Linked DNA regions of Arabidopsis thaliana. The protein of the gene in region 2 interacts with the protein of the main gene of each other region in a biochemical or structural test. Each region holds a gene or a part of one and is shown on either strand. Other genes may lie near its edges. The genes, in order: D6PK and PIN7.

Region 1 (4,984 bases), on a different chromosome or scaffold from region 2:
CTGCCAGAAGAAGATCAGAAGAAAACTCAAGAACAAAGGTTACAATTAAACAGCGAAAAGATCAGCAACAGAGAGGTGACTCAAGAATCAGTTAATAATAGTATCTGTTGCCAGTCTCGAGCTGTCCCAGAGCTGAACGGTAGTGGTTGCCAACAAAATGGGAACTCCTCTTACTGTCTGGAGGAGATTCACACAGAGAAAAATACCTCGGAGAGAGTAACCTCTGTAAAAAATGCATCTCTTCGGATAGGAAGCAGCGAGAATGGATCTTCTGGTGGATTCAAGGTTTGTGCGGTGATGTCAATGTGGTTGGAGACTTGGGAGAGAGAAGATACATATGCTGCTTTAGCTGTTGCTTGTGCTGCTGCATCTGTGGCTATTGCTTATAACTGCTATAAACAATTGAAATGAAGCTATGTGTTTTATATTTAGCTTCTATGCAATGGTAATTATCTCAGTCTTTAGATTAGTTGTTTCCTCTTCGTCTGTACAGAGTTAGAAGAGGGTTTTAACTCTTAAGTAAGAACTGCTTGTTGATAACATATGATTATTATATATCCATTTGTAAGTAATTACGGGTTTAGTCAATTTGGTTTAGAGTTCAGATCAATGAAAAGCAAGGAACTTTTGAGGTTTTGATATGGTGGATTAATGGATTCTCAATGGTTCGTGTCTAACATTAAACTCAAGAAGATGGTACAGAGACTGTCTCACAACTTTGAAGAATGATTACAAATCTCATAACTTTTTCCAAGACGTGAAAATTAAAAAGAAGAAAAAAAAAGAAACACATTTGTAGAAAACACTAAACAGAATTTGCAAAGAAACAATAATGAGAATCATCAACTGTGGAAACAGTTTCTTCAGAAGAAATCAAACTCAAGATAATTACTCTGATCAGATCTTACACTCGAAGATGCGGCTGCTGGCACAGTAGGAGTAGGATTCAAAGCTTCAAGATCAACCGGTTTAGGAATCTCCGGTGGACTGGCACATCGAACCAGAGCCCAATTCACTCCTTCAAAGAAAGGATGTTGCTTTATCTCTGTTGCTCCACGCTTATAAGCTAATCTATGTTGTGGCTCCTTCACAAGCAAACTCCTTATCAAATCCCTAGCTGCGAAGCTAACAACCGGAGATTCAGGGAATCTAAGAGGCTGACCAACCACGTTGAAGAGCGTTGCTCGATTTCCTGACCCTTTAAACGGTGTTTTACCAAACAATAGTTCATAAAGAAAGATCCCAAAGGTCCACCAATCAACTGCACTTCCATGTCCTTCACCTTTGATGATCTCTGGAGCTAAGTACTCGTGTGTGCCAACAAAAGACATAGAACGGGCGCCTGTGGGCTCTGCAACGAGTTCTGGTAACGGAGTTACTTGGTGGTTCCCGTTTTCGGTTTTCGGTTTCTTGTCTTTCTTGGATTTCGATGAGAAGAACCGAGGACCGAAGCAAGATGTTGGAGCCATTGAGATGCAAGATGGTTGCTGGATGCATGCAGGTTGTTGCGAGCAAGAAACCGAATTCTTCGACAAGCCTTCGGATCCAACATTAGCTGATCTGACTATAGAGAGGCTCACAGTACATCTCAGGGAGAGATCAAAATCCGAAAGCATCACGTGCCCATCATCTCTCACAAGAACGTTCTCGGGTTTCAGATCACGGTAAATGATCCCAAGCATGTGTAAATATTCCATTGCAAGAAGCACTTCCGCGACATAAAACCTGCAAAACAGCAAGTCACTAAGGTTATATAAACGCACAAAACTAGATTCTTAGATAAAGAAAGTTTAGAAAAAGTTTCTTACTTAGCTGCTTGCTCGGTGAAGCGTTTCCCGGGTTGTCTCTGCCTTAGTGTATGCAAATCACCACCAGGACAAAACTCCATCACCAAACAAGAGAACTTCTCTGTCTCAAAATGACTATACAAAGTCGGAAGAAACGGGTGATCAAGACACTGCAATATCTCTCTTTCAGTTTGAGCCCTAAGAAGCTTTTTCCGGCTAGCCAAAGCAGTTTTATCCATAACCTTCATCGCAAAATAACACCTAGTTCCATTCAACTCAGCAAGATGAACAGTTCCAATATCTCCACATCCTAACCTCTTCAAGAGCCTAAAATGATTCAAACCCAAACCACCATGTTTAGTTCTAACAGCTTGAATAGCTTCCCATCTCACATCATTAGCCTTGTGAGGTTTGTTGATACTGCTACTAAAGCTGCTACAAGTGCTCTCATCGCTTATATCACTGCTTGTACTTGGTCTACAAGTGCTACTCTTTCCACTCTCACCTTGCTCGTTGATCTTACTATTACCGGTTTTGCCATCACTACTTGGATCAGCGAAAGACAAACTCGAAGATACTTGATCTGCTAAAGTGTTGATTGACATACTTTGACTGGAATTGGTAAGTGATCCTTCTGGAGTTTTTGAAGCCATCATTAACACAGAGCAATCTTAAACACCAATTCCTTCTTCCCTGAGATTTAAAGAACTTGTCTTTACTCTCTAGTAATCAATACTGTCACAGATTCCATCAACGAGTGGCCTGATCTATAGTCATCAAAACAAAACAATAGCATCAGTTTAAAGCTGGATTGAGAAGACTCAGAAACAACAATCACGGATCTTACTACAGATGAAAGTTTAAGTAGATGCACAAAATTTTACCCAAATTGAAATATCAAATCTAAGTGACAAATCAATTAAAGCTCTTCATGCAAAAAGTTTGGATTTTTATTTTGAGTCTTTAAGGGTAAAAACAGATCTCGTTAAAGTAAAGAAGAAGAAGAGGCAAAATAAAGAACTTTTGGATCTAGCAAGAATCAGAGAATAAAACCCAGAAAAAGAAGAAATAAAAAGAACAGAGCTTTAGAGAGAGAGAGAGAGAGAGAGAGAGACCCAATAAATCGTTACCTGAAAGTGAAGATTTTTGAGCGATAAAGATCACGAGATACCCTTTTCGAAGCAAAGGGAAGGAGAAGTAGAAGAAAAAAGGAAGGAGAGGGAAAGAGAGAGAACAGTCACTGTTCATGTAAGGCTGTAGAGAGAGAAAGAGATGTAAGAACACATCTGCTTGCTTCCATGGAAATGGGGATAGATAGAGAGAGGGAGAGAGAGGAGAGAGTGTTGTTAAGAGAGAGAGAGAATTGGGTCTACCATGAAAAGAGGGAAGAGGAGAGAGAGGGTCAAATAAAAAGTTGAATACTTTTTTTTATTTTTTTTATTTTGAGGGAATTTCAATTATTTCAATGTATTTTTTTTTGTTTTCTCCAAAATGGAAGACATATGTTTACATCAAGAATGCTCTCGCGAGCTGTTAATAATTTTAGGCTTTTTAGGGCAACCAAATTTTTATTGATACATGTTATTGTATATTTCCTACATGTTTACTTTATATTTTGATTTTCTAAATAATTGTCTATAGAAATTTTTATATATATTTACCAAAAAAATTCCTTTTTGATTCTTTAAATTATTAAACACATCAATTTAAATTATTAAAATTCAACATTCTTATCTTTCATCTATTCTCATGAATCTGTCATGTGCCTTTTACTTGATGATAAAAAAAATTGATGTTTACCTCTATGCATAAATTTATGGATTTTACATATTTAGCTTAAGTTTTCACACGAGTTTTTCAGTTTAGCAATTCTAAGTAAGAACTATTGTGAATGCACATTTTTGTTAGAAGGACAATCCCATATGCGTGCCACCAAACTATAATTTTCTGTTTTATTTATGCGGTTTGGAAAACATCGTCCTAAGCGTATGTTTTCGTCATCATGCAGCATCTTCGGAAGTTTCTTCTTGTGTTCTAATGGGTGAAACTTGAGGCATTAAATGAACATTAGCGCATACCATATCACAAAGAGTTTTGCATCTTTTCGGATTGCCAATAGATGATAAATCTTATAAGCTGAATGAAGACATAACAATAGATATTTTATATCTCGATTTCTTTTGTTATCAATTCCATTTACATCCAGTGTTCATCCAATTTTATGGTCGAAATAATACTTTCTAAAAGCTTGTTAGCATCCGTCAAACATTCTGTTTTCAAATTTTTAGTGAAAGTTTTTGTCATTTACCAAAATCAATAAAAAAAAATCTTTTAAGTTTTTAAAAATAACTAAACATTCCAAAATTGTATAAACCTTTAAAAAATTTCCCTAATAACAAATACGTAAATTGGTCATGTGTATTAATTTTATTTTATTTTTTTACTAAACACACCAAACAATTATTTAAAATTAGACTCACCATTGTTTGAAACTTGAGAGTTCCAAAAGATGCCCCTAAAACTTTTCAGCAAATTCTTATTTATTGCCCAATAATAAGTTTCCTTAGATTCTAAGATTATATTTCATGTATTTTATTTTTTTTCCCCCACATTTAAATCGAACAGAAACAATGTTTTTTTAGAAATGGTTCAACAGGTAGTTGACAAACCAGAAGATTGTTCAACATAAAAGAACACAAGTGGGTATAATTTGTTCATTTCCTCATATCTCAAATAATTCATATTTTAACCTCATGCTCTTATTAGATCCAATTACTGCGTCAATTTTTAATCGAGAAGCTCAGATCCAATAACGACAATTGCTACACGATCGGCTTGTGACGTGAAACGCGAGTGGGGAATCTTTCTTCATTATAATCCCATTTCTTTAGGTTAAAAATACTGCAATAATAACAAAATAAAAGGTTTAGTTTATTAAAATGTTTTGTTTACCATGATACTTGAGGGATTAAGGTTTCTAAGTTTCTTCATTACAATTTAAATCATAGCTGGACACTGTCACTAAGGATGCTTTAACATTTAAATGGTAAGAATATCCATTTTTATACAAGTTTCTAGGTTTACTCTTAGATTTAGATCGAGTCCTCTCAAAGTCTTAATTATATTATTTTCTTAACAAATTCATAGAGATTCAATGGTTAAAAGATTTATCGTGAAAATTAAAGATTCGAGTGTTC
Region 2 (5,937 bases):
TTTTATATATGTTAAAGCCGTGAGCGGTGTAGACACAAACGGAGTGTCCTTTTTTAAGGAACTTAAGAAAACAACCGCCAAGAAGGACATCGAGGTAAAAATAGTTGTTTTCACAATCCGATTTTGTCACTTATCCAAGGAAACTAATTAGATTTTGATCTAAACTGGATATTTATTTTATGTGTGAAGCTTGTGTTTGTGAACCCTCTAAGCGAAGTGGTGGAGAAGCTTCAAAGAGCTGACGAACAAAAAGAGTTCATGAGGCCCGAGTTTCTCTTCTTAACCGTCGCTGAGGCCGTTGCGTCGCTCTCTCTTAAAGGGCCATCTCTCAGTAACGTTTAACTATAATTTTTTGTATCGGTCCAATATTGATATTTAACCGATGGTTAAATTTTTCTTTTTGTCTCTTTTTCATCTTTTAATTTCAGTACAGATGTAATATTACGTTCTTCTCTCTCTTTCTTCAGTGATGATTTTGGTCAAGATATGTTTGTATGATTTCGCCATTTTGTAGTTTACTAGGCCATGTTTAGTCTCCGAGAATAAAATTGATCTAGAATCGAATTGATATCTTAGCTAGATCAAACGGATGTATATCCAAATTATTTATGAAATAAACTGATTAAATAAAAAAATAAAAATAATATTTTTATTTAAGATAATTATGTTTTATAATATTAGAAAATATGACCAAACCATGAGCAGAATTGTGTTAAGAACTTTGCCAAGTTAGAGCTTACATTATATATCAAAAGTCAATGTGTAATTGTCAAGAGGGATAAACCGACGCGGATGAATCGAAGAAGCAATTGCTTTCAAGAAGACTTCAAATCAGCTATGTGTCTGCGATTATAATTGTGTAAACGTTATAAGCAAGAAATTTATCTCAAAATAAAACTGGTCTATAAATCAAATCGAATTGAAAATTTAGCTAGATTAAAAGATGAAATGAACTGATAACATAAACTAATAGATATTTTTAATAAGATGTTACTACTTTTGTGAAATGATAAAATATTTCTGAAGTTAATCGAATTCATTCAAAGCTATGATAACATTGTGACTTCTAGGAAAAAACAATTCTTGATACGGTCGCGGAAAGATCTTGATAACATTGTGACTTCCAGTCTTCCATATGGCATAAGGTATTCTTTTACACTAATACTTTCCCGACAACAACAACGAAAAACTCCAACCTTTTTTTAAAAGGCCACATAGAATGCATGATAGACCATCTGAAAGAAAATGGACAGGGTGGCTTAAAAGTGAGATTTCTTGGGATTGCATAGGATGTTATAATTAACCCTAGCTTGAAAAAAAAAAGACGATTAGACAATAAGAAATAGAATTTAGGTCAACTTAGTTCGGCGAATATGATCTTGCATTGCACCTTCTTTACCAATTTATAGTGATCTTTTGCTCCTTATAAGCACATGTTTAAATCACCACTACGACATTGTTTCTGTTTGGGCCAAATGCACACTTGTATTTTATCTCACAACGAGCTTATGAGAAATCAATCCTAGTAATACGTTAAGTGGCCCAAGAAGTTTTGGACCGGCATTTACGTGTATATAAAAAAATATTATGATTACTTTTAGATGAAACCACACTTAATTTCTTCTTTTTTCTTGGTAAACCACAATATCTCTTTATTGTTTTTATCAAGGATTCACAAAATTCATTGAATGGAAATTTTCATTTATGTGTGACATGTAGACAGTCAGTCCACTCTAAAAAATCTCAGTCAATTTCGTAACAAATTCATAACCTATTTCAAACACAATTCATAACCATAACTTATAAATACTACATAAATGATATTTCTTTATATCATCTTAAATGGTACATAAATTAGGGGAAAGCTAAGATATATATAGTATTAAAAAGTACAAAAATAGATAAGGTTTATAAATGTTTAAAGAAGTAATAAAATAGAAATAAGAACTAATTAGGTCGTCATGTGTTTGCTGTATAAAAAGCTGTAAAGGGACATCTCTCGTAAATCTAAAAATCATCAAATCTTCTCCTTCTCTCTCTCTCTCTCACACACTCACTAGCTTCTCTGTTAAAAGCTTCCGTCATCACATAGAGAACAGAGACTGACACTAACTCACTTCCTAACGGTTTCCACACTCAAAATTACACTTTTGCCACTCCGGCGAACAACAATATGATCACATGGCACGACCTCTACACCGTCCTCACGGCGGTGATACCACTCTACGTAGCCATGATCCTCGCTTACGGCTCAGTCCGGTGGTGGAAAATCTTCTCACCAGACCAATGTTCCGGCATAAACCGCTTCGTCGCTATTTTCGCCGTCCCTCTTCTCTCTTTCCACTTCATCTCCTCAAACAATCCTTACGCAATGAATCTCCGATTCATCGCAGCCGATACACTCCAAAAACTAATCATGCTCACTCTCCTAATCATCTGGGCTAACTTCACTCGCTCCGGTAGTCTTGAATGGAGCATCACAATCTTCTCTCTTTCAACACTTCCCAACACTCTCGTTATGGGAATACCTCTCTTGATCGCCATGTACGGAGAATATTCCGGCTCACTCATGGTTCAGATCGTTGTTCTTCAGTGTATAATCTGGTACACGCTTCTTCTCTTTCTTTTCGAATACAGAGGAGCTAAGATCTTGATCATGGAACAGTTTCCAGAGACTGGTGCTTCGATTGTATCGTTCAAAGTTGAGTCCGATGTTGTTTCTTTAGATGGACATGATTTTCTTGAAACTGATGCTCAAATCGGTGACGATGGTAAGCTTCATGTTACGGTGAGAAAATCAAACGCTTCTCGGAGATCTTTTTACGGTGGTGGTGGTACTAATATGACTCCTCGTCCGTCTAATCTCACCGGAGCTGAGATTTATAGTCTTAACACTACTCCAAGAGGATCTAACTTCAATCATTCTGATTTTTACTCTATGATGGGGTTTCCCGGTGGCCGGCTTTCGAACTTTGGTCCGGCGGATATGTACTCTGTTCAGTCCTCGAGAGGACCTACTCCTAGACCTTCGAATTTTGAGGAGAGTTGTGCTATGGCTTCTTCGCCAAGATTCGGGTATTACCCGGGAGGAGCTCCCGGGTCGTACCCAGCTCCTAATCCGGAGTTTTCTACCGGTAATAAAACCGGTAGTAAAGCTCCAAAAGAGAATCATCATCATGTAGGAAAATCAAATAGTAATGATGCTAAGGAGCTTCATATGTTTGTTTGGGGATCCAACGGATCACCCGTTTCGGACCGAGCTGGTCTTCAAGTTGATAATGGAGCCAATGAACAAGTCGGAAAATCCGATCAAGGCGGTGCAAAAGAGATTCGAATGTTGATCTCTGATCATACTCAAAATGGTGAAAACAAAGGTTTTTAACTTTTAAATTGTATTTTTTTTTGTAACATATGGACACAAATCTCAAACTGTATTTGCTTAAATTTGTAGCTGGTCCGATGAACGGGGACTATGGCGGGGAAGAAGAGTCGGAGAGGGTAAAGGAAGTGCCTAACGGACTACACAAGCTTCGGTGTAACTCCACAGCAGAGCTAAACCCTAAAGAAGCTATAGAAACGGGTGAAACTGTACCGGTAAAACATATGCCACCAGCGAGTGTGATGACTCGGCTGATATTGATAATGGTGTGGAGGAAACTCATAAGAAACCCAAACACTTACTCTAGTCTCATTGGTCTCATTTGGGCTCTTGTTGCTTTCAGGTAACTTAATCAAAAATCAACTACTAGTGGAAGTTTATTATTATTGTGAGATTTGATTAGAGTGATGATTATGGTAATTTGGATATGAAGGTGGGATGTGGCAATGCCTAAAATTATTCAACAATCAATCTCAATTCTTTCTGATGCTGGTCTTGGTATGGCAATGTTCAGTTTGGGTGAGTCATCTTTTTACTCTGTTTCTTTTTTCCGTTAACTCATTTACTTTCTTTCTATTTTTACGCCAATCAAATGTCACAACATCCACATTCGTACGGAAAAAATTGTAACTTTTTTTTGGTGAGGATTCCAATAATTGAAAATGGTTGGTATTTTTTAAGATTTTTTGGGATGGCCCGTTACGGCATGGACCATCCGACAGGTAGGGTCATTGATGCGACGTCGAATTATATAAACGGTCGTGGTGGGATGACATAGCTCGTGTTCTTGATTGTTGTCGTGGTCCCCATATTAAGTGGAAGTTGATTGGACTTACAATGTACATGAATGCATCATCATCATCATTTATTGGATTTAGATTACGTTTACATGTATTGCATCATTCAGCACTTGTTGTTTTGAGTGGAAATGAATTAACTGAAAATGTGAAAATGGTGAAGGGTTGTTCATGGCATTGCAACCGAAATTAATTGCTTGCGGAAATTCGACGGCGACTTTTGCGATGGCGGTGAGATTCTTTACTGGACCAGCGGTAATGGCCGTGGCAGCAATGGCTATTGGATTACGTGGAGACCTATTGCGTGTGGCCATTGTTCAAGTAAATTAAACTATTTTCGTTTGTTGTTAACAATCTCTTTGTAAGAAGTAGTTTAACCAAATCTTGTGGTAACGTTGTAGGCTGCATTGCCTCAAGGGATCGTGCCGTTTGTGTTTGCAAAAGAGTATAATGTTCATCCCGCAATCTTGAGTACAGGGTAAGTATTTCATATTGAACCAATAGTAAAACTTTTCTTATGCATAAGAGAAGATTACTAATATTGTTGATTCTTATGTGTATTATTGCAGGGTAATATTTGGAATGCTTATCGCACTACCGATTACACTTGTTTACTACATTTTACTCGGGCTATAAGCTCTTCAATGGAGAAGTTCTGCTTGGCTGAAGAGGATAAAGAGAAACAAGATAATTCCAAGATTAGTGGAACGCAACTAGAAAATGTAATGTAACACGAAATGTAGTAAATTTAAAGGGACCAAGATTTGATTTGAGGATCCAAAAACCCTTTTCTTGTCTATATATTTTCTAGAGATTATTTGAGAAAGAAGGTGATGGAATGAGAGAGACAAGAGGACCAAAACAAGGGAAAGCAAAAAAAACAGAGGACTAAGATTTGATTTGAGGATCCAAAAACGCTTGTATATTTTCTCTTCTTTTTTTATAAGAAGGGTAAAGCTTTGTTCATATATTTTGACTTGCAATAATTTCTCTTACTTTCTACTTTCATTTTGTTTAAAATTAGGTAGGTACGGTATTCATTTTTTGTTTGTTTTGTGTTTTGTGTAGGTTACTTCTTTCGACGAAAGTGTGTTTTTGTGGATTTTCCTTTCTCATCTAGTATACATTGCTCTCACAAAAGTAAGGACTGTTTTATTCCAATTAAATAAAGAAAATGACCTCTTAGTTAGCGATTAGGCGTGAAGATATATTACAATTGGTTTTATTTAATTTTTGTTCTTGTCTCATGACGTATATGATTATATTTATATTATAATTACATCAAAAGATATGAAATGAAGAAAATCATATGATAGAATTCGAGTAAAACCAGGAAAAAGATGCACCATTTTCTTACAATTCGGCTCTTCGTTATACATAATAAGGGGAAAATGAGTCCAGAACATCTCAACCCATTGAACTTTTAAATGAAGAAAACTAAACGTTTTACCAATTGAGTCACTTTATATTTTACTATTTTATGTTAGACATATTACTATACTAATTTGGACGTTGAGAAAATTTCTCTCTTTTTTCTCAAAAGGAATTTGTCTAGTATAACTTTAGATGCTGTTTAGACAAGTACGTCGACTTGATAAAGCTCTAGTTACCATTCAGAGCATTGGTTACCATTCAGAAGTGGGTTAGGCGCTTTGCACTCAAAACGCGGTGTCGTCGTTTTAGTAAGCTTTGTGATGTAAACACAAATTATATATAGAAAAATAAAAACATAAAAGTAATAAATTAACAAGCAGAAAGTTA

What was found.
Region 1: of the proteins of PIN7 (region 2) and D6PK, one has a biochemical effect on the other in vitro, tested with the Arabidopsis thaliana proteins (one study listed by BioGRID).

The regions. Positions count from the first base shown.
Region 1 is NC_003076.8:22,639,192-22,644,175, forward strand, and holds D6PK (D6 protein kinase), read right to left. Parts: upstream 3,224-4,984; 5' UTR 2,918-3,223; exon of another isoform or gene 2,672-2,917; intron 2,555-2,671; 5' UTR 2,444-2,554; coding exon 1,809-2,443; intron 1,726-1,808; coding exon 864-1,725; 3' UTR 622-863; downstream 1-621. Other genes in the region: AT5G55900 (Sucrase/ferredoxin-like family protein), read left to right, coding at 1-411.
Region 2 is NC_003070.9:8,179,643-8,185,579, reverse strand, and holds PIN7 (Auxin efflux carrier family protein), read left to right. Parts: upstream 1-1,929; 5' UTR 1,930-2,173; coding exon 2,174-3,374; intron 3,375-3,451; coding exon 3,452-3,722; intron 3,723-3,812; coding exon 3,813-3,898; coding exon of another isoform or gene 3,899-3,936; exon of another isoform or gene 3,937-4,339; coding exon 4,340-4,497; exon of another isoform or gene 4,498-4,577; coding exon 4,578-4,654; exon of another isoform or gene 4,655-4,745; coding exon 4,746-4,812; 3' UTR 4,813-5,391; downstream 5,392-5,937. Other genes in the region: AST91 (sulfate transporter 91), read left to right, coding at 18-94, 190-342. UniProt on the Arabidopsis thaliana protein: Acts as a component of the auxin efflux carrier. Mediates the initial auxin gradient which contributes to the establishment of the apical-basal axis in early embryogenesis.